2 linked regions of the Danio rerio genome follow. The protein of the gene in region 2 purifies or fractionates together with the protein of the main gene of each other region. This does not show direct contact. Links are inferred from orthologs where the notes say so. Each region holds a gene or a part of one and is shown on either strand. Other genes may lie near its edges. The genes, in order: rnf114 and parp12b.

Region 1 (4,459 bases), on a different chromosome or scaffold from region 2:
TTCAAAAAGCCACTCATGTAAACACCTTAATCATATTCAGATCTTATTCAGATTAAGAAAAATAATTAGATTATTGGTGTCCATGTAAACTTGACTGACCTCATTTTTACAGCCTTTGCACTTTCCGATTGATCTCTTCATAAGGTCTTGTAAATGGTCATCTTTAGCCCACTTGCGCAGATCAGTCCTGCAGACGGCACACACTGGGCTTTGGGGCCGCAGACACTCCTGAAGGCAGTCGTTACAGAACCTGAGCGGAAGAGAGAGAAAAACACTGCAATTGAGTGCTTTCAGTTGAAAACAAAAAATAATTAAACAAAAAAAATCACTCATCAGAATATATGAACTGGACATTGCTGAAGTGTCCCCAGCTTATGCATCATTCACCACCACCACCACTACTACTACTACCATAACGATGACGATGACTAGTACTACTACTATAACGAAGAGTACTATGAGTACTATTTACACACCCTGCCTTGCAGAATACAATAATTTTAATAATTTCAACAAAATAGGATGGATCATAGTGAATGCTAGTTTTGAGTACTACTCAGTGGCATAGCGCAAAATGTGGGGGCCCCCCTGCAGGGATCACTAATGGGGCCCACTGATGGGGGGGAAATCACAAACTGAGGGGACACGGAGAGTCGTGGAGCAACGACGCGAGGAAGCGATCATAAATTGAGGAGCGGGAAAGGGGGGCGGGGTGGAAAGACAACGCGGGGAAGCCTTCACAAACTGAGGAGCCATCACAAACTAAGGAGCGGGAAAGGGGGGCGGGGTGGAGCGACGACGCGGGGTAGCCTTCACAAACAAGCAGCGAGAGCGTCAAAGTAGCCGGAAGTCCTTCAATTTCAATGAGAACCGGTGGCGAGGAGCAGCGCGTCGAGTCTTCTCCGGTGTGGGCATCGAGGAGGACTTGAAATCAAGTCAACTTTATGGTAATATGCTATGATGTGGTTCGGCGGCAAGCAATCAGAATGAAGTAGTCCACCGTTTGAGAGGAGTTGAGAGAACACAGACCTGGGAACTTTGGTTCCGACCACAGTTGTTCCCAGGGGTTTGATTATTGTGGTTGCCGGATTTTCAATTATTAAAAATCGCAACAAGGCGGGGCCCTTAATCACGCGGGGCCCCCCCGCGGAGCGTGCCCTGCTGGCCCGTCCGCTACACCACTGGTACTACTCCACATGAGCTAGATATTTACATATAAGACAAAATAATAACTGACTAAATCTATCCTGTTGAAATGTTTACACACCCCTGAATCAACTGTATGAATGTTTGTGATGGTTTTTAATGAGTCATTTGATTGTCCTGAAGAGTTCAACCAGCTGCTGTAGTTTAGAAAAGGCCTTCAGCTCCTGCAAATTCTTCAGTTTACTGCGTCTTCTTTATATTTTTACAGCCCTACAACAGTGACTGTGTGATTGTGATGCCCATGTTTACTGACGAACTCAAGCAAAACATTTACCGAAAGTGAAAATGTTTCCTGACACTCAGCACATTCACATTAAGAGCAGGGGGTGTAAACTTTTACACAAACTAAAGTATACATTTTCAATTATCACTGTGCTTCAGCAGCTAATACTAATACTAAATAAGTACAATTTACCTCAATTGTTCATTAAAAATCATTATATTGCCTTTTTGAGTAACTGATATATAAATAAAAATGAATTAAAAATGTCTAATGTTTTGTGGATTCCACTTTTCTTTACTGCTCTATTAATAATTAATATTCCAAACAGATTGAGTAACTTAACTTTTTTAAAAATACACGTTATTAATCTAAAGTGAAATACATTTTAAAAACCGCCTTCCCTACACTGCCTACAGCACCTTAACCAAATACAAATACTCTGTAAATGCTATTATTTTGCACTTTTAACTGATGTTTGCCAGGAATGCTTGTAATTGAAAGGCCACATCTGATCTGACAAGACAGGCGCTGGGTGTTGTTTTCCGGTTCTAATTACGTGTACACTACAACTCCCACAATCCCACACTGCAAAGTTTTGTACACAAGAAGCAAAACTGAAAGTAACCAGTTTCTGTCTTATAAAAAAAATCGCACAACAACAGCACTTACTGAACAGTGTCCAACACAATCACATTAAGATTAAGGCGGAGGTCACGAAGGTTGTGAATCGCTTTGAGGTGATGAGGGGATTAACATTAAACTACTCAACATGTCAACCGAGAAGTTGCTGCTAGCAGACATGAGCTCTCCAGAATACTCACGTATGTCCGCACTGCGTGGTCATGGGCCGGACGAATATCTCCAAACACACGGGACACACGAAGTCGTCGTCTTCAGCATCGTTTACGTCGGTTTGCGGGTCTATTTTGAGCATGGCCATTTCTGCTGCGCTGTGTTCCGTGTTCTTGAACTCCAGTGAGATTCACTTTTGTGAGGGGAGGAGCAACAACTCAGCTGATCTCCTGATGCACATGAACGAGAAACAACATTACAGCTCTTATTAGACGTACGACAAATAAAAATAGCCGTTTGCTAACAAATAAATGCAACATATAGTAGGCTACATCTGTTGTGGCTGTGTTGTCTTTTACGTGCGTAGTTATAAGCGAGATCTCGCTAGTGCTCTCCGATGCATAAACGAGTCATTTGAACCGGCTCTTTTAAATGACCGACCGAATGAATGAATGTGAAAATGACTCGATTGGAGGTTGAATCAGACTGTAAAATAAGAACGTAGAAGTTTTTTTGACGTTACTTTTTTTATTATTGATGGGCAATGCAAAATCTAGTCACAGTATAAAGAAAAAAAAAATGAAAACTTTAAATAAAAATGTTTTAAAAGAAATGCATAAGGATATTTACATCATCATAAATTAAAAGAAAATAGTATATGATTTACAAATGTCAAAAAAGTTTCTAAGCCTACCCTAAACTATATATTTAATTACATATATATTTATATTTAATATATATATATATATATATATATATATATATATATATATATATATATATATATATATATATATATATAATTACATTACACAAAGGGGGAAGTCTTTCCAAAGCAAATTAGAATAATTGCTTTCATTTATTACCAGAATTAATGAAAGTAGAACATTTTTAGGAGTGAAACTTGAATACGGGCGACGTTTTAGAAAAGTAATCTAAAAAGTATACTTCGATTCATTAAAATAAATAAACATTCAAATAGAAAATAAAATATACTTATATGTGACAGTTATATATCTCGCAAATCTTAATTAACTTTTACATAGCTTTTTTTTTATCCCAGAATAGTAAATAAATGCCTGTAAAATCTAAAAACAACATCTGACCTCGCAATTCTTGCATTTGTCTTGTTAGAAACGTAGATCAAAATATTAGCATTTAACATACAATTTCACAATTGAGAATAATCTTAAAAATGCAATTCTTAGTTATATGTTGCAATTTTTACTTAAAAAATTATTATTTCACATGTTGTGTATTATTTAATATTATTCTCAAAAAATTTGTTGGTAGAAATATAAAAATCCAGACATTCATAAACAATGGAACAATTCACATTTAAAATAGAATTCATAGAACTGATCCTGTGTACACTATTTAGATTTTTTTTAGTAAAGCATGTACAATCAAAGGTATTTTTTTAAACAGAGCCTTAAAGCCTAGAGGATATTTTTTAGAATGATTGATTTGAACATTTATGTTAGTATTAATACATTATCTAAATTCATGCAAATTGATGAAAATTGTTCATTCTGTTTAGATCATTCAGAGTCTTTTGAATGTCAGCATTAAAAGAAGTTTTGGGATGACTTATCTCTGTATGTATCGGGTTTTAGATGGAATTTAACATCATGTGCTAATTTATTTTGACTGAAACAAACTATCTGTGGAATTTATAATGAATATTTTGATTTTATTTGGTAAATTTCATATCCGTAGAAGGAATAATACTAAATCTTAAAGGTATTCATTATAGATTTTAATTTTTAAATATACTCGCTACAGTGTATTGATAGCAAGAAATGTCAAAATACGATGATAGTTGCAAAGGAGTTGAAGCTAATTGAATAGAAAACTTGCTGTCTATTGTAAATAATGTCTTACCTATAGCTGCTGATATTGTAAAAGTTTTTATATTGAGGTTACGTGTTTTTATTCATTCTTGAATATTTAAATAGATTTTTAGTTAATTTATTTTCTTTTATGTTTTAGTTAAGTCTGTATTTATCTGGATATATTTGCTTTTTGCTGTTAAATGACTCCATTGAATCAAAATATGTGGCCGAACCGACTCGCTGAATGAATCCGAATCCCAGCGCTAGTCCTGACTGCAGCTTGCGGCCTCGGGAGCGCGCATGGGAGGTAGTGTGGCGCATGCGCAGTGCGGCGGTGGGGATTTCCAGCGGAACATGAAGGTAAGGAGCGCTGGATGATGGGGAGGAGGGCGGCTTGGTAATG
Region 2 (4,338 bases):
TCTATTCTATTCTATTCTATTCTATTCTATTCTATTCTATTCTATTACTCTATTCTATTCCATTCTGTCTTATTCTACTCTATCTTATTCTATTCCATCTTATTCTATTCTATTAAATGATATTATATTATATTCTGTCTTATTATATTCTGTTATATTCTATCTTATTCTATTTTATCTTATTCTGCTCTATTCTATTACTCTGTTCTATTCTATCTAATTCTATTCTATGTTATTCTATTCTGTTCTATTCTATCTTATTCTATTCTATTCTGTTATATTCTATTCAAAATAGCCAGAGATCTATTTTTAGCTGTAATTGAGCTACTTGCGGTATTAACTATACATCCTACATAACCCATTATTATTGTTTTTAACTCAGTGTTATTCGTATTAAAATAGGTCTTGTGTTCATAACACTTGTTTGTATTTATAACACTTAGATTTATTGTTACATTAAGTATAATTAATACATATAAAATTAATAAACATATTATAAACAAAATGAAAGTGGCAGAAAAAAAGTAAATATATCTGCCTGTTTGTCTGTTATGGAGTCAGAACAGTCGCAAAAATGATACATTTGTATTCATAAAATTAGTAAAGTAAAAACACAATTCATAAATCCACAACTTTAATTCATAAATTCATCAATAGGGTATATGCAGAAGTATGCAGAAGGACTTTTAATTTTGCAGTAATCTGGGTCAATTAACTGTTTGCAGTTACAAAATCTGCACGTTTAAGGTCTGTTTTCCTTACGAATCAATGATCTCCACTGCCTGATAGATATACGATATAAAGTGGGTCTCAGATTGTACAAGAAGCATTACATTAAATTACATTTTCTCGTGCCATGTCTTTAAAATATGAACATTCATTTTGCTCCAGTATTTTCAGCTGTGTTTCTGCAGTAGCCTGCTGATACTGACAGGAGCATGCATGTAAATGGCTTTTCATCTCGGTTTACGCTTCGACAACTAAATGAATGCTGAAGTCTATTGAACTGATCATATTTTAATTACATTACAACATCGATGCTGTAAAAGGAATTGTATAAAATTTTAAAAAGTCACATTAACCGTTCACCGGAAGTTTATTGGTATGGGAAGAAAACAGTAGATGAGCAAATACCCTATTCAAATGTAAAAAGCAAAAATATTTCCCAAACGCTCACACATATCTTAAAAACATTTAAAATGGATTAAAATGGTTCTTGGGTTACTTTCCTCATGCATTTGTGAACATGTTAGATGTATTTATGAACCCCTGAATGTGCATTGGAAAGTGCTCCCAAGAATATGGAGTCCTTTAAATTTGTGTGGGGTATTTTTAAGACCTTTCTGGCAGGACATGATTCGATACAAATCTTTTTTTGGAGGAGTTGTGGATTTATGAATAGTGCTGTGCATTTATGAATTTTATAAACGCAAATGTATTGTTTTTGAGACTGATCTGGCTCCATAGTCTGTCCGTCATAGTTGTTTTCACGAGACTTTTATTTTGAAAATGATTGGCACTGGAAACTTGGTACCGAATCTTAGCACTACGTTATTGCAGTTTCCGCTTTCATTTATGTAGAAACGAAGACTCAAAAACATCGAAGTACAGTCAGACTGGAGCCCACCCGAGGCTCTCATCTCTATGTCCGATATGTCGGACTGCACTCGGGTCATACATTATGCGACCAGCATATTATGCAGCAATAAAGGCTCCATGGAAATGTCCCAGCTGCACCGGAGGGTCTTCCAGCGTTTTGAGATCAGCGAAGCAGATTTTTGGTACATCGTCAAGAAATGCGCCCGCTTCGTTATGGTCCAGAGCAGACCCGGAGAGGAGGATGCAGAATCAGACTGCACAGTTGTCGCCAAGACATCTCTGAGACTCTGCAAGAAATATTCCAAGAATGAATGTTACGAGTGCCAAGACTTGCACCTCTGCAAGTATTTTGTCTACGGGAACTGCAGATATGGAAAAGGAAGGTAAGTTTGAGAGAACATTTTTAAGCGGTATCTCTTTAATGTAAGATTTTCCTGTCATGTTAGTGAAAAATAAAAATATATGGTAATTAATAAAATGTTAATGATGTAGTTTATACATAAAATACACATGCGTTAAAGGGAAAGTTCACCAAATGACAATGTCCTCACCATTTACTCACACTGAGCTGTGGAAGTCAATAAACCGCTTTGTTTTTCCCAATTCTTCAGAGTATCTTCCTTTGAAAACATAAAAAGAAACTCAAATAGCTTGGGAAAGTGAGTAAATGATGAAAAAAAGTTCAGTTTTTGGGAGAACTATCCCTTAAATGCAAAATAAAATTGTTATTCAGTTATAAGTATTAATTTATTGAAATTAATGATGTCAATTTATTATTGTAGGTTCTGTTTAACCCATTGATCATTTTGTGTAGTATAGTTTTATGATTACTTGGCCTTCTTTGCTTTTGTTTATTTGTTTTTTTAAACGCTTATAAACATGCATTCAAATATTTTGATGCACTTTTTAAATGTATTTTTCCACATTTCAGACTGATAGTATAACAAATATGATTGAATTTAACTTGGCCAACAATTAATCATTTTTAAATTATTACAATCAATATAATTGTACATAACTGATTATTATTACAGCATTATTCATTAATAATAATACTTTTTCATTATAATAAAAAAATGCTTAAATGCTTCATATTTTCTATGGGGATATAAAATATAATGATTGATTGTTTAAAAATACAAAAAATCTGCATATTATATAGCATACACTTTAAAACGCAGTTTGACTACTTTAAAAAGTGAGTAAATCTATTGAAACTTGGAACGGTTAAATTGATTTTAAGTTTTATAATTATGCATATAATTTGTTTACTTAATCATTTTAAGGTAATGAGATTACTTGTTTCTCCTTTGAAAGCATGAAAAGGAAGTCAAATAGCTGTGAATGATGAAAGAATGTTCAGTTCTTGGCCGATCTTTCCCTTAAATGCAAAATAAAATTGTTATTTAGTTATTAGTATTAATTTATTGAAATTAATAATGTCAATTCATTATTGTAGGTTCTGTTCGACCCATTGATCATTTTGTGTAGCATATTTTTATGATTACTTGTCTTATTTTTGTTTATTTGTTTTTTTGAACACTCATAAACATGCATTCAAACTTTTATTTTTCCACATTTTAGATTGATATAACAAACATGATAGAGTTTAACCTGGCAAATGGTCAACGTTTGTTCATTTTTTATTTATTACAATCAGTATTAGGTTTCATTTTATGTAACAGATTATTATTACAACATAATGCATTAATAATAATACTATGTCATTAACATCAATAATAACACACAACATTGCAATTTAAATATATGTATTTTTCAACATAATTAGACTAATAATAATAATAAAAAATGCTTCATATTTTTAATGGTAGTATGAAATATAATGATAGATTGGTTAAAAATACATCAAATCTGCATAAAAACAAATAAACCTATTGTCTTAAAAACAACAAGTTGACTTTACTCTAAAAAGTGAGTAAATCCATTGCCATTTGGAATGGTTAAGACAGGGGTGCGCAAACTTGGTCCTGGAGGGCCGGTGTCCTACAAAGGTTAGTTCCAGTCCCAATCAGACAATCCTGGGCTAGCTAATCAAGCTATAGCCTTTCTAGAAACATCCATGCGGGTGTGTTGAGGCATGTTGGAGCTAAAATCTGCAGGACACCGGCCTTCCAGGACCGAGTTTGGCCATCACTGGGTTAAGACTTAACTTGAATTTTATAATTATGTTCATAATTCATTTTCTTTATAGATTTAAGGCAATGAGTTACCTCACTTTTTTAAGTAAAGCCAACTGATCGCTTTAAAAGCAATGCGTTTACTCACTTTCCTTAAGTAAAGCAAACTAATTGCTTTTTACAGCGTCAGAGTGTTAATGTTCAGTTTCTCTTTGTTAACCAAACATCATTCCATACATTTTGTGTTTGTGTTAATCAGGAAGGAGTGTAAATTCTCTCATAACATCCAGTCACAGCATAACTATCCCCTGCTGCGCGAGTGTACGCTTCATGAACTGAACGAGGACGATCTTTTCCTGCTTCTACTCCAAAACGATCCCGCCCTGCTGCCAGAGGTGAGGAAATGCAAACAGGAAGGCTAATTTAGTCACCTAAATGTTTTTGGACTCCTTTCTCTTGAGAGAATTCCTGCCCAAAGCCGAACTCATGCTATGATTGGGATATTTCTGCATTCCAGGTACCTGTCCTGCCGTTTGAAACACCAATCTCCTTTCAGATGCGTTCAGAGTAGATCAGAGTTCACGTAACCGCTCATATGTTT

What was found.
Region 1: the proteins of parp12b (region 2) and rnf114 purify together in Homo sapiens (affinity purification with mass spectrometry; 3 studies listed by BioGRID and IntAct, counting the BioPlex papers as one, with this or other methods). This does not show direct contact. The link is inferred for Danio rerio from reciprocal best matches to the Homo sapiens genes PARP12 and RNF114.

The regions. Positions count from the first base shown.
Region 1 is NC_133198.1:3,522,186-3,526,644, forward strand, and holds the start of rnf114 (E3 ubiquitin-protein ligase RNF114), read right to left. Parts: upstream 2,879-4,459; 5' UTR 2,370-2,878; coding exon 2,251-2,369; intron 251-2,250; coding exon 100-250; intron 1-99. UniProt on the Homo sapiens protein: E3 ubiquitin-protein ligase that promotes the ubiquitination of various substrates. In turn, participates in the regulation of many biological processes including cell cycle, apoptosis, osteoclastogenesis as well as innate or adaptive immunity.
Region 2 is NC_133179.1:10,382,243-10,386,580, reverse strand, and holds the start of parp12b (protein mono-ADP-ribosyltransferase PARP12b), read left to right. Parts: upstream 1-1,532; 5' UTR 1,533-1,644; coding exon 1,645-1,982; intron 1,983-3,996; coding exon 3,997-4,132; intron 4,133-4,338.